Arabidopsis thaliana: one gene and its partner. The protein of the gene in region 2 interacts with the protein of the main gene of each other region in a pairwise test. Each region holds a gene or a part of one and is shown on either strand. Other genes may lie near its edges.

What was found. The genes of interacting proteins can lie anywhere in the genome.
Region 1: the proteins of AT2G40360 (region 2) and AT5G14520 interact in a two-hybrid assay, tested with the Arabidopsis thaliana proteins (one study listed by BioGRID).

The regions. Positions count from the first base shown.
Region 1 is NC_003076.8:4,680,040-4,686,101, forward strand, and holds AT5G14520 (pescadillo-like protein), read right to left. Parts: upstream 4,434-6,062; 5' UTR 4,292-4,433; coding exon 4,268-4,291; intron 4,113-4,267; coding exon 4,027-4,112; intron 3,792-4,026; coding exon 3,543-3,791; intron 3,444-3,542; coding exon 3,318-3,443; intron 3,214-3,317; coding exon 3,129-3,213; intron 3,041-3,128; coding exon 2,930-3,040; intron 2,836-2,929; coding exon 2,742-2,835; intron 2,607-2,741; coding exon 2,341-2,606; intron 1,887-2,340; coding exon 1,779-1,886; intron 1,699-1,778; coding exon 1,577-1,698; intron 1,480-1,576; coding exon 1,260-1,479; intron 1,169-1,259; coding exon 971-1,168; intron 834-970; coding exon 750-833; 3' UTR 501-749; downstream 1-500. Other genes in the region: AT5G14530 (Transducin/WD40 repeat-like superfamily protein), read right to left, coding at 4,743-4,901, 5,041-5,090, 5,179-5,260, 5,343-5,480, 5,568-5,684, 5,932-6,031. UniProt on the Arabidopsis thaliana protein: Required for maturation of ribosomal RNAs and formation of the large ribosomal subunit. Plays an essential role in cell growth and survival through its regulation of ribosome biogenesis and mitotic progression.
Region 2 is NC_003071.7:16,850,716-16,859,546, forward strand, and holds AT2G40360 (Transducin/WD40 repeat-like superfamily protein), read right to left. Parts: upstream 6,057-8,831; 5' UTR 5,921-6,056; coding exon 5,756-5,920; intron 5,670-5,755; coding exon 5,546-5,669; intron 5,343-5,545; coding exon 5,206-5,342; intron 5,112-5,205; coding exon 4,957-5,111; intron 4,878-4,956; coding exon 4,760-4,877; intron 4,669-4,759; coding exon 4,410-4,668; intron 4,319-4,409; coding exon 4,210-4,318; intron 4,123-4,209; coding exon 4,020-4,122; intron 3,940-4,019; coding exon 3,789-3,939; intron 3,707-3,788; coding exon 3,574-3,706; intron 3,496-3,573; coding exon 3,389-3,495; intron 3,289-3,388; coding exon 3,224-3,288; intron 3,148-3,223; coding exon 2,598-3,147; intron 2,494-2,597; coding exon 2,408-2,493; 3' UTR 2,165-2,407; downstream 1-2,164. Other genes in the region: AT2G40350 (Integrase-type DNA-binding superfamily protein), read right to left, coding at 880-1,345, 1,941-1,969; LAC5 (laccase 5), read right to left, coding at 7,477-7,607, 7,789-8,772. UniProt on the Arabidopsis thaliana protein: Required for maturation of ribosomal RNAs and formation of the large ribosomal subunit. Plays an essential role in cell growth and survival through its regulation of ribosome biogenesis and mitotic progression.

The DNA of each region.
Region 1 (6,062 bases), on a different chromosome or scaffold from region 2:
GGGTGTGTTTTTTATATTTTAGTCGTCTATAAATGCAAAATTTTCAATAGAAAATAACATATTTTTTTATTTTAATGTTTTACATCCTTCTCTTTTGGTTAGGACAGGAATATGATCAAGTTTCTATCCCCATTGGTCCCTAGTTCGAATATGTGTGTAAGAAAAAAGTGCTTAAATTTTCTTCGGTTACAAGTATGGAATTCAGAAATACGTACAGTATATACATTTTTAAAATTATATATTTCCAACGAAAACTATACAATATACAACTTGTTATCAAATAAACTTGCTGACTAAAATACATTGTAAACGATACCGAGTTTGTAAATTGTAAGAACGTCTCCAACTAGAAAATTCCCATTCAAGTCTATTATTGTTACCATTTTTTAGTAATTATTAGGTAGATAAGATTATTTCTTTAGGCGTACTCATGCATCAAGAAAAAAAAGAGATCAAATATTATAAAATTGAAATGTACTTTTGATATTCTATGTTGTACAGCGCCGTTGTCTTTAAGAAAATCATTGTCTTACTCTTACATTATTCATGTAACAAAGTTAAGACGTACGCAATAGATTCATAAAATTTAGTCTAAAACTTCAGTATAGTTGGACGTATAAAAATCAAAATCAAAACTTTTTAAAAAATTTGGAAGTACATGTCGCGAAAGACTAATGATGATGATACATAACTTAAGAAAAAGCCTTCTGAAGAAACAGAAATGTAAACAAAAATATAAAAACAAGTTATCATGATGATGGTTGAGTATCATTCAACCTTTTCTTGCGCTGCTCGATTATTTCAACACCTGATCTCTTCCTTGACTGCGAAATCTGCAGATACCATTTCACAATACACCAAATTAACATCAACTTACAAACACTAAGAGACCCTTTCATTGCTATGCTCTTACAGACCTATAGAAACTATATAAAAAAAAAAAAAATGGTAAATGTAAATGGGTACATACCTTCATGGCATCGTAGAGCTTCCTCTTCTTACGGGACATCAACACTTTGGGCATATCAGCGTCCTCTTGAGCTATTTGCATAGCATCCGGAACTGATTCTTCACCCTCACCTTCAGCCAACACAGGCGCTACAACATCCTTACTTCCATTTATTTCCATCTTCAGTTCCTCATGGTATTGCTTCTCCTGCGCCGCCATCTACATAAAATAACCCACAAAGTTAACAACTTAATCAACGCATACAAAAGTTTGACAGGCTTGAATTGCTTATATATCAGCAAAGTCAAACCTTCTTCTTGTTCTTTGCAGCTTCGGCTTCCTCCGCACGACTCATAACACCAGCGTACAATAAATTTTGAGGATCTTCAAGATCCTCTTTCCCAACACCTGGCAATGGAAGCACTTCGTTTCTTGCTGCTGCCTGTAGTCTTTTGATGGTTTCGGCATAATCAGGAACGTATCCTTCTGCTTCATTGTCCACAAATGGTGACAAGTGTGGCGGTGGAATTCTGCTTGTAGAAAAGCACACAATACATATACAAACAGCTGAGTAAAACAAAACATGGTAGTGAAAAAAGAAATAAGCAAAGTCTTCGAGTGTGTTACCTTCCGACCAAGTACTTTTCAGTTGGCAAGATTATGCGAGCATTCACACAGTCATAGATCCACTGTGGTTGCACATATACCCTAGAAAGGTACAAATGGCCAGCGCTTGGCTTATCGATGATCTACAGAAGTATAATGTATGTTCTTGAGACTATCTATCTAGACACAATCGTAATATTAATAATCAAGCTAAATAGCTTACATGATGTGTAATACTCTCATCATCCTCCTTGAAAGGTGCACCTTCTCCTTCCCAAGACACCATCCCACCAAAAGCAGTAATCACCAATTGCAGGGACTCTCTTGGAACCTACACAAGTATACAAAATTATTATACAATAGACAGGCCCCAGTCATGAAACAATTTAATGATCTTCTAGGTCACTGTGAGGAGACACTCAAGAACACAGATCTTCCAAATATCAAAACATGGAATGCAATTTACAATCATTGACACAACTTTGGTTAGGACTACACAGTAGTTCTAGGTTCCCTCACCACTAAGTACGTATAAGAATCATTTTTTTTTTAAATGCCGTTACTTACAAATGGTTTGTCTTTAAGTAAGAGTCTTTGAACATTATAGACATGTCAGAGATTTAGGCTATAGAAAAATTACCATTTTATTTGGTAAATTACTGAATCAGTTTAGTAGCAAATGAGTATGTTTTGTCCATAACAGTTAAAATTTGCCAATGATTTACTATTTTAGAACAAAATTCAGTGATAAGAAGTGGCTCAGAAAGAATGAATCAAAAAGATACCTCACGGCTCAAGAAAAACTTCAGATCCTTGAAGAGTGACTTGCACACTCTTGTTTCTTCATCCTCTTCAACCTCTTTATTGTTATCTGCAACCAGATGCATCAATGCTCCAGGCTCACTTGAAGGCAGCTGGTGCTGAAGCTGTGCAAGTCTAAGTTCAGACTCTTCACGGTCATTTGACTGTGAGCTAAATGAAGCATCAACTTTGGGTTCCACCGCCATGCCTCTGGAGCTGGCATCTATGTATCTAGACAGTGCATAGAGATCTGCAACATTGAAGACATAAACAAATATATATTAATCAGAGTAATAGGTGACACGTTCTAATGGTTACATATGAACTCCCATATGAAAGATATCTCTTGAGGAAAATAATTGCTTCTTGGAGGAGGACAACGTACCTGCAGCCAAAGCCTCCAACCGAGAGTCAAGGATTGGCGGGTATTTAACATTCAGAGAATGGTAAAGCTTGAAGTTAATAAAGGCAAGAAGAGTCTGCATCAAAAGGTGAATGAAAATTTGTCAGCAAAAGTCCAAACATTAAATTATTAAGGAAAAGGGGGAATGAATAGATATTAGAAGTTCTCACCTCGTAAAATTCCAAGAAGGTAAGCAGGACACCAAAGTCAACATCATTTGTAAAAACTTGTTGGATTGCATGAGGGGTCAACCAAGTGATCTTTTGACCTTCTATTTCAGCCTATCAAGATAATATTACCAAAGTTTCATTAAAGAGGAAGTAATCTACTAATCCCATTATAAGCTCTCAAGATAAAGTAAAACAATACCTGATAGTAAATACCCTTGACAGACACAAACACTTTACGTAACGCATGAGAACGTGAAATGTAAGCTTGCCATTCATGGGTCAATCTGATTCACAAAAGAAGCACAGAGTCAGATTAAAAATATGAAACTAAAAGAAGCCGTCAATAAGTCAAGACACAAGGGTCCAAGAGAAAGTATAAGATTCTGACCTTCGACAGTTGTGGACTCGCTTAACTTCAAGATTTTCCCTGTCTGATGCAGGTAACACCGCAAAAAGATGAACCATAGTGAGACAGTCATCCAAGTCTCGCAGTGCATCAATAAATGTTGGATACCTAAACATTAATAACATAAATAGAAATGAGAGTTAACAGTCTAAAACTCATGGATGTTCAAACACAACTGTATAATAAATTCAAGTGTGTCAAGCAAACCTCTCACGGATCAATCTATCAAGCTTGTAAGTAGGTTGGCGGGTGAGCAGAAGGCGTGCAAGCTCCTCGTTTTTCTTGGCCTTGGCTTTTTTGACCTTCTTTTGGTATGTTTTGATTTCCCTAAACTTCTCAAGAAGAGGCTCGTGCATGAGGAAAGCAATGTCCTTGACATGGTAGTAAGTGTGATGGTTTCCCTTAATCTTCTTCTTTGGTTCTCGGGGAAATATACCTTTGACAATACATAGTCTCCTGAAATACATAATCGGCAGGTACAATAATAACAAATTAGTCACCTACTGATAACCAGAGAATTTCTAAGTAAAAACCTAGCTAGGAACATAACACAATCTCGATATCAATTCTAAGATAAATTGACAAAACACGAAGCATCTGAAAAAAACCTAGTGCACACATATGCTTGTCCGAACAATAACTCGAAGAAAAACAGTGAAAAGTTGAAGGATAAAGAAGAAAGAGAGTGAACCTGAATAGATTCAAGTTAACTTGAAGATGTTTAAGAGCTTGCGACCTGGTCATATACCTAGCCGCATTTCCTTCCTTCTTTTTCCCCTACAAATGACAAACATAACCAAATTCATCTCAGAAACAAGAAAGAACCAGCTCCAAAGTTTTTCGAGCAAAGGGAAAGACGAAAATAGATTACAACAGTTGTTGAACAACGAATATTGGGGAGAATAGAGCTTCAATCAAAGAGAAACACTCACCGTTGGTCTGTAATGCTTCGGCATGGTGAAAACGCCACCAGAGAAGGAACGAGAGACGCGGAGAGGAAAAAGAGAGACAGAGAATTAGGGTTTTAGCCAAAACGATTTGTTAAAAGTCGGGGTACAAGAGGACGATATAATGGGCTTCTTATGACCTATTTGACTTCTTCTCAGGTTTATTATACCATGGGCTTTTAAGGCCCAATATGCTCATTGTTGTTTGTTCTTCTGGGTTTTTTATTAGGATCATGGTTCGTGAAATCTTTTCCAGTTTACGTGAACATTGATGTATGTATTCATCCATATCTTTTTTACGTAAAATAAGAGTAAATAGTCATTAAAGAAAACATATTGTAACCATCTAGACTCAAATTCATAAACTCTAAATTTGATTAACATACTACTGCTTCCAAATTTTTCTAATTGTCAACATTAAAAAACGATACACAAGTGCATAATGGAAACATATATGTCGTCACTGTTGTTGATCGGTAGGAGGATCGGCGGGGGCTGGTGATTCACCGTCGTTTGGGATCCAGAATGTGAGAACCGTAGAAGCAGCAACGAACATGGCTCTACGTGGTGCCCATTTCAGACACGACACTACTCCTATGTTGTTCTCCCACCTCGCCACCTGCTTTTTACACAAAATCCCCACTAAAATTTAAATACTGTGAAAGCATAACGCAAAAATAGTATCTACAACTTTATAAATTATTCATCACTTTTAAGTGAATCAGTGTCCTAGTGGTGTTGATTATTCTGCACTTTACCTCAGATGGGTTCTCGATGTTCCACGCATGTAAGGTTCCATCACCTGAACCTGTATCCGAAAAAGAAAACTAAGCTGATTAAATTTGAATATTGTGTAGATGAGTCATGATAAAAGATCATCTAGGAACGCGTATTACCTGACAGAACATACTTGCCATCTGGTGTGAAGGTGGCCTCTATGGGTGTACCCTGTGAAGGCTCCAAACTAAAACCACATTTCTGCAAAATAACATACCGTCTTTTACCAACTTGAAACCTAACGTTCTGTCTTCTTCAGGTGAAAGATAGAGAACGTGATTACCTTCTCTCCACGATATGCATCAAGAACGTAGATATTGTTATTTGTAGTCGTTAGGAGCATGGATTTCCCATCGTTGCTGAATTTTATATCGTTAACCTCAGCAGTATCCCCACCCACCAGAAATGTGTCAAAGGGACCCTACATAAGAGATCAATTGGGTTTAGAAGTTAGAACTAACAAGAGCAGTCATGCGTAAGGCTGTGTGAATCATTGTAAGAAGCTAACCTTGTCATAACACCTGGAATCAAATAATTTAACAGCACCTCCTTCCATTGCAATTGCAAACACAAGGCCTTGTTGGTCATACGCAACTGCAGGTCTACCACGTAGATGTAGAATTCCCTATTGACTAAAAGGGTAAGCATAGATCATGAAACCATATAAATTCACAGAGAGAGTATTAAGGTAAAGAGCCTAAATATTCTCAATGTTTCGTGGTTCCAGCATCTTCATCAAGTTTAACTTTCAAGGTGATATATCACGAGGTTTTTGCTAACAAAAAGAAAAAGGCACTTTTCTCATTAAAACTCTAGCATATTAAGACTTATTCCATCTAGCCTTCTCAGAGTGTAAAACTATAGAAACCAACCTGGCAGGCATTTACACGAAGATCCCAGAGTCTAACACTTCGGTCGAGAGAACCAGACATGAAGCTATCATTTATAGGAGACATACAAAGTGATACAACCCTGAAACAGAAGAACATTTTCCATCATCAAT
Region 2 (8,831 bases):
ATACGTCATTTACTCATTTTCGTTGACTAGTCAAAAATCAAGTCTTCTTCCACACGAAGCTATGGGCTAAGTATGGATTATTGTTTTATATTTTTTGTAAACTTTATTATTGATATGAATAAATTTAGAGAAAAATATTAATGTTTTATATGTGTTTTGGTTTCGTGGATTACCCTTAAGAGCCTATTATGCTTCTTTTCGCGAGTATATAACACATTGTGTTAGACAAGTTCAAATTGTGAATGAGACTATGAGTGAATTTGTCGTTAAATAAAGGAGACCAGCCTTCGTGGAGAATTTCTATTTTTCCTACGAAGTGACAATCCATTTTCTCTTTGTCTAGTCAAGGATCCATCATTCATTGTAATATGAACGTTAAGAAACTGTCACATACATATGGAATCAAATCCATATTTGGATTTAAGCCGACTAGTAACGCCCCAACTTAACCAATGCAGTTATTGGACTTAACATTTTGGAAATGCGAGAAGTTAGAGATCTCAACAAATAAAGGCGATCATTACAAAACTTAAACCTAGAAAGAGGATAATTTTGGAGTGATGGTGACGTAGAGGATGATCGCCAGTTTCTTATCATTTCAAATGCTTGATAGAATACATCTCCTCATAGATTGAGAGATAGAGAATATAATATTTTGTAGTGGTGGTGATGAGGAGGAGGAGGATTGAGTGTTATGAGAGTTTCAGACCACTCTTGGTGACAATCTAAAGATCTTCCTTTGTTTACTTTCTTGCATTTCAATAAAGCTCCATATGAGCTATCTCATTTTCAATCTACAACTTAAGACCTCACAATAGTCAACTACGATTAACAATACACTAGAACTATCTAGGAGAACATATTCATCAATACAATCCTCTAGTCTGACCTGACCAAAACCAGATCTTGCATTTGTATCCTCACGTGCACAAACTTCAGATTCATCAGAAAATGCAGTAACCGAGCCTGACACAGTGGCAGCAGTGGAAGATTGAGTCGGGCAGACTGACCGTAAATAGCTTTGGAAGCCTCATCATAAGCCAATGCAGCTTCATATGAACTAGAGAAAGTACCGAGCCATAACTTAGCACCTCGGCCTGGCTCACGGATCTCAGCAACCCATTTACCCCATGTCCTCTGTCTAACTCCTGTATAGTCACAAATCCCATTTTCAGGTCCACCTTTACCTTTCATACAACCCTTCCTCGAACGTTTTGGAGGAGCCTTTCGGATTGGTTTTGAACCACCACCATCGATGCAAGAATCTGCCTCGGTCTGCTCATTGTACTCTCTCCATTTCCTTAGAATCTCAGCTACATCTCGTGTTCCACGAGACTTCCGTTTCCTGGGCATAGAAGCAAGATTAGCAACATGCTCGTGAACTATTGGGCACAGAAGCAAGTCCCATTTTTTCTCTTAACAAGATTTAAAGCAACATGTTCAACTATACTTGGGATCAAAGCACCTTCAAAGAAACAATTTTTAAGCATCACAGAATCTACCAACACCGAAGTAGCTACAAGAATTTTTCACAATCTGCAGCATCACAGCGAATAAAAAGAAACCCCATCACGACCACAATTAGAACAGAGCAAACTCAGGAAAGGTACCACATTTAACGTTTATTCCAGCTAAAGATCCTCTAATTTCCAAGTCTCTTAACCCCACACGAACTCGAAGCCACAAATCGCACAGAACGTAATCCAAAAGAGACAAATTGTGCCCAAAATTAACAAATTTCTGTCTACGAAAAACCCCAAAAACCCTAAAGTGAAAACCTTCTAGCTTTCAACTACTAAACAAACAAAAGAAGTTACTTTAAGGAACTTGATACCACTCAAAAACAACAACAATCCTGTAAAAACAAAATCTTTAACAATGAACAATTAGCACACATACACAAGCGGGAAAACAAAAACAAAAAAAACGGACAAACAAACCTGTCAACAATCTCCGACGCTGACGGCATGTCAGCAATCACTCGAACAAAGTAGCAGCTGAAGAAGAAGAAGAACCCAAACGATTCAGTGTAATAGTAGATTAGTAGTAGCAAAGAAGATGGCTTTTTTCGTTAGCAGAGAAAAAAAAAGGTTTGGGATTTGTGAAAGAAGAAGCCTTTATTAGATATTTCAGATATTTCGGTGATGACGTGGCGCTTGTGAGTGAACGTTAAAAAACTATCAAATCAACATTTGGGTTTAAGGACTTGCCACAACTTAACCAACGCTGCCAAATAAATCGATACAATAAGATTTTGGACTTTACCATTTTGGAAGTGCTACAAGTTAGAAATCTCAATAATAAATCCAGTATAACAAAATTGTACGATACAATATTTGAGTAAAGGTGGTGAATACAACAAAGAAGAAAAGAGATGAAAATTGTCAAAATATGGTTTGCGACCAATCTAGTGGCAATAGAGTTTGATAATAGAGTCAGCGCCTGCAGTGAATAGCCATGGTTGTCTCGGATGAAACTTGCAGTCCAAGACTCCTGCAGTCATAAAAAATAATCAAAACACATTAATATAAACGATCTTACAAGTTAATATGCGATAGTGTATTCTTGTAAGAATCAAATACACTGTAAAAACTGACCTCCTTTTGAAGAATGACCTCTTAGAATCTCCAATGGCACAATCAGAGGATTCTGGTTCAGATCATTATACACCATTCCATGGAAAACATAAGCTGTTGAATCCTCCGAGCACGAAGCAAATAACGGATATGATCGATGAACTGCCACATTTGTAATGTCTTTAGGATGATTCTTGAGAGTCTTGTATGGTTTCGAAGATAGATCCATGTCAAACCAACACATCTTCCCTTCTTTGCTTCCTACTATCAGATTATCACCACCAGGATGAATCGCCATTGATGAGATTTCTCTCAATCCTGTCTCAAGCTTTTTGGTGGCCTCGCCTGGCTTCAAAAGATTGTAAACACGCACGTCCTTTCTTGTCGCAACGAAGAAGTAAGAAAGGCTGGGATGAAAAAGTGTACAGACTGGAAGTCCACGAATCTTAAATGGGAGCCTTTGTGTTTTCTGTTTTGACAGTTGGTGCAATACCACTCCCCGTGTTTCCCCGGATGCCATCACTGTTGAGAGATAGTCTCCTTTACGATGCCAGTCAATAGACGATATGCTCTGAAAGTAAACAAACCAGTTTAAGATTTTCCTTATGTAATAACTGTTAAAAGGAGAATCTTTTGCAAAAGTGTACCTTAAAATGTCTTATCTTAATCCCTCCATATAACTCATCAGGTAGCCAGGTTACAATTGCTGCAACTATGAAGTCGTGCAAAACATACCAACCAAAAAGATTTAATCATTTGGAATTTCATCACAATTACATACGAGATGATGGCAGTTATTCCAAGCCACTTACCAGATGCGTCTGGTTCTGGGATGTTTCCTGAGTGAAGCCTCTCTTTAGTAATTTCCTGTTCCTCATCAGTCCCAAGTTCAGTGTTCAGAAAAAACAAATCTCGTCCCCTGCAATGTGAGATGAGAAGGTTTCACAACAGACAATTATAATAAATTCAAAAGCATATTCACAAGATCCTCACTCACATGGCAACGGCTAAAACTGGAAGCCTGGAAAGAGGATTCCAAGCCACACACATGATAGCTTCGTCAAACTGCCAGACCTTAAGGCATCTACCAGTCTCCACTTCCCACATACGGACAGATCCATCAGTTGAACCTTTGAAGGAAAAAAGAATACAAGATTAGCATCTTGAAAACAAAAGAGACCTCATTGAAAAAAAAAAAAAATAATGAAATACCTGAGGCTATCCACTCGCCAGAACTATCAGTGGATATTGAAGTAACAGCCCCTGTATGGCCTTTATATTCAAGATAACAGGAGTTAGGATAAGGTCTAAGATCCTTCCTACTAGGTAGCTTAGGCTTCAAAGATTCAGGGTCGATGTTTATCTGGAGAAAAGAAACATAATGTAAGAAAAAATACGGGAAAAACAAAGAAGAAACCAAAAACTGAGATGATAAGTACTCACTCTCTTCTTTCGAACTCTTGGACATAGGTATAGATCCAAACAACGCTCAAAAGACTCCTTCAGTGCATTCTCATACGCAGGGATGCTTCTCAAAGATGTAAACCTATGCGCAGATATATTTACTGAAACGCTCAGCGGACAAATACCAAAGAAACTACATTAGAGTAGAATAAGCGAAACTGTTACATACCTTGTAGGAATGAATTTTGGACGATCTTCCTCAAACATCAACTCATATGAGGCTTTCTCCTCCTCTGTTGGAATATATTCCAAAGAAGGATTGTATGATTCATCGTGTCCTGGAAAGCCAAATAGTACAAATTAAAAGTTTGAAAACGGAATTCCCAAGAGAGGAAGAGAAACAACAGAAAGTCAGCGAAAAGTTTTCACCTGGCAATTTAAGCTTGGGTGGAGGAATATAAGTTAAATGCTTGCTCTTTTGATCAGATGTCGAATCATCACCCCATAAAAGGTATACATTGGGCTCTTCTTCAGGCTTATCAAACTTGATCCACCCCTTACGTATTGCTCTAACAATCTTAACAACCTTTTTGGCCTCCCATTTTGAAGGGATGAATCTTCGCTTGGGCTCTGGTGCACTTGAGAGTGGATGTATTGCATCATCATGTTTGAACCACTCAACATAAGGCTGGTCCCAAGAGAATCAATCAAAAGGTCACAAATTGAAGAGATTTGCATAACATTAGTAGAAAACGGCTACACATAAAACAGATACGTACTGCATATGGATCAAAGTCCGCATGTGGAGCTTCCCCTTTGAGTATTCTCTGAACGATCTTGCTCTCCTCTTTAGTCAGCTCAACGTCCTCGTCATTATATTCATCATAAATTTTGCGCCTAAATCCCCAAAAACTTTCATCAGCATTATGACACCAACTAACCACATACCAACAAACAGAAAAGTCTTCATACTGACCAAGTCTTAGAGTCATCTATAGTTGCAAGAAAAGAGTCGAGTTTATCTTGTTTTTCTTTCTTAGTAATCTTCTTCCCAGTGAGGTCATAACCAATATGTTTCTCATCTTCATACCACTTTAAGGGAACATTCCCAACTGTATTTCTAGATGGAACCTACAGATTAAAGATACAAAAATATCTATAACTTCATCTGGAAATGGAGAAAGATAGATTCAAGACCAATATGAGATAGAGAAAAGCATCAAACCTCATCTTCTGAGGAATCGCTCTCTTCAACCGCTTCACCTCGCTCAGAATCTTCATCACTCCCATGTTCCTCATTATTGTCACTACCTACATGTTCACTTCCATCATCATCCTCGTTATCAATTGACCCATCATGCTCTGCACCAACATATCCTAACATAGTTAATCTCTCTTACTTGAATTTACTTTCCCATGTTAAAGCTAGAAACTTTATTCCCCCATTATAAACTCCCGCAAGTATTTTCTAACACACTATAATTAGCTTCTTCAATTCAAAAGCATAAACACTAAAAATTTAAGATTTGAGCTAATTTAGACGAAAAGCAGAGTAAGAAAAGTACCAAGCACGTCGTCGTCATCGGAAAATTCTACATCTCCATCTTCTGTTCCTTCATGTGTTCCATCATCCTCTGAATCGGAAAAATCGGAGTCGAAATCGTCGGAATTCAAAGAACCAGGCAAACTCTAAAAATCACCCAAAAAAAAAAAACCAGAATAAATCAAATGCAGAATAAAGATGTTACAAAAGAGAAGAGGAGCAAGAAGAATACATCTCCGTCGTAATCAGAATCAGTTCCGGATGCTTGTAGAAGGTCTTCCTCTTTTAAGCTTTCTGCTTCTACTGGTTTCTTCTGTTTCTGAGATTTTCCAGAAACGTTTTTGCTTTTGGTTTCTATCAGCTTATCTTCGTTAGCTCCTTTGCTCCTCTTCGTCATCGGAGCTTCCAGAGGCGAGTTTTGGCCTGAGAAGAAATTTGTTTTAAGAAGGCAAGGGGATGCGTAACAAGAGATTTAGGGTTTTAGGTTGAAGTCGTAACTCTCTAATGGGCCTGAGAATAATTTTTTATTGAACAAGGCATGGGAATGCGTAACAAGAGATTTAGGGTTTTAGATAATGGACCTATATACTAATGGGCCTTTCGTGAAGACGATAAAAGAAAAAATTTAAAACCTTTGTGGTGGTGTTTGATGAATGGTGAAAAGTGAAAACGACAAATAGACTTTTTGGTTGTGATTAAAACTTTTTTATTCTTCTTGGTTGATCCAATTCTAAAGTGTCTGATAATAGTTATATATCATGATTTTCGCCAATATAAATTAACAATTATTAAAATTTGTATAATAGATATTATCTGGTTAGTGAATTTTAAAATATATATGTTAGGTTTTAAGATGACAAATGAGTTTAGTTTGCTATTTATTTTAGTATTTAATTGGTTTGCAAATGCCTTAAAAATTTATGAATATCTATCATGTAAAAGATCAATTATTCTTTTATATATTTTGCGTGTTTATAGCTAAGCTCACACTCGCGACCTAAGTTTTATTTTCTACGGTAAGATTTAGTTTGGATTTTCACCTTTTTGTATGGATTAAATCAAATATGACAATCGGAGTTCTTACAAATTATTACACGTTAATTTCTTGTCTACTCTAATATTTCGGTAGATTAGTGGCAACATGCATGTGTAAGAATTATATTATTATTATCATTTGTTACATTTGTTATAAAATTAGCCCTCTGAGTACTCAAAAATATAACAAAGTCATGACAACTTTTGTTTCTTCTAGTAATGTCGATGTTATGATTAATCCGCGTCGGAAATCACTTTGCCCCAAACTTTTCTGCTCAACTAATTTGGAATTTCAGGCCACTTTTTCTTGATGTCATATTCACTTATTCTTTTTCAATTAATTTCGTTATCATCTTCTCAAGTTCAAATTCAATAATGTTACGTAAAAGAATAATACTCATCAATTCATAGCAATGCGTTTTAAAACAAAATGGAATTAGGATAAGTTTCTTTCTTTATAACTTCAACATTCAATATTGACTCAGCAAATATTACGCCAACAAATTATGTTGTTTATTATGATCGCAAAAGTTCTAAGCTGATTATGGAAATAAGTAGGAATTTAGCTCAACAACCATTCATTCTAATTCTAACATATCAAATTCATGCTCTTAGTCATACACAAATCGAGTGAATGAAACCTTTTAACAAAAAAAAAGAAATCGAAGTAATGGGTCAATTAAGCATAAAGAAAAACGAAAAAAATAAACTTTCATGATACGTATGCTTAGGCTCTTAGCACTTGATTTGGTACTATAATGTCAAAAGAATACATCAATAATCGAGAAAACTTAATCTGAAGGGTCCGGGCCAACTCAGGAGTATGACCCGGTTTACGTCTATAACCAACAAAAAACAATTGAATAGAAGAACATGAAAAACTATAATGTGGTTTTATGTTACAAAGTTCTTGAACTCCTAACAAACGGGCAAATCATGAGGAGGCTGTTCTATTGTCTGCAAAACTCCATTTCCATTCTCAACCAAAAAAGCCATGGCTAGTCCCCACGATATGTGTGCATCTAGATGACAATGCATTATCCAGACCCCTGTTTTCAATCATTTTTACACGTATTTAGTTTAGGGACTAGTCTCGATATATATATAATAAATTAACGAATCATGTAAATTTTATAGCTAAACTGAAAAGCGAAGAAATTTGGATAAAAATAAGTAACACTTGTAATGAATGATAACTAGTAGTATTTTTATACTAATAGTTTAGCTTACCAGGGTTGTCTGCGATGAATCTGATGACGGCCCAACCATTAACAGGTACACCGACAGTATTTCTGAGAGGCGGGTCTTCAAGATTGAATTTCGCGGTATCTTTCTTGGGATTGAAGTTACCGAAACCCTCGGCGATAATGTAGAAATCGTAGCCGTGTAGATGAATGGGATGGTTTTCGGGAGTTACTATACCTGTGTCTTGAAGAACAATCTGAACCCTTGATCCATACTTGAGTTTGTATAGCTTAGTCCCTCTATCAGGTTGGTAGAGAGATCGGCTTATGTTGTTACCAGTGTAATCAAATTTCACCGGAGGCTTCGCCGGAAAATCGGTTGTGAAGACTCCGGGGATCCCATGGTGGTGAGCTTGAAGGAGTGAGTAGTTACTTGGAAGAGCAAATGAAACGTTGTTCATCGATGCAGTGAAACGTGTGCCGTTAGGACCTTGACATCTTCTTGATCTGAAGTTCTTAGGACAGTTGTTGAGACCGAGTCCGATGGTTACGAAGAGATTCTCGTCGATTTCTGTCGGAACCTCAGCTCGTCTAAGTGACCGGAAGCTTTGGCTGAAACGTGTGACGGTGTTTGTGTCGTTGTAGGCAGGGAGGATAGGCATGATCGGTTTGAAGGAATTACCCTTCTTGGTTCCACTTCCGCCGCCTACACCGCAACAAGGGGCGGATTTGTATTGAAGGATTGCTGTTGTGGTTGTGTTTCCAAACGGTGCGTTTTGGGCGCTTTGGTAAGCTCTTGCGGCCATGTAGTAGCGATTTGGTGGTTGGTCACCGGTTATGAGGACATCTGTGGTTTGTCCCGGGCCAAGAACTATCACGTTAGTGGTGAAGGGTTTTAGGTATGACGCGTCAGCTCCGACCACCGTGAGTTTGTGATTAGCCACCGTGAAGAATAACGGTTGGTTTAATGCTGAGTTTATTACTCGTAGTAGTATAGTCTCACCAACATTTATTGGTACTACTGTCGTATCTGTAACCAAAAGATTATAAAAAAGTCTAGTTAATATACTTATTTGAGTCTTTTGGGCT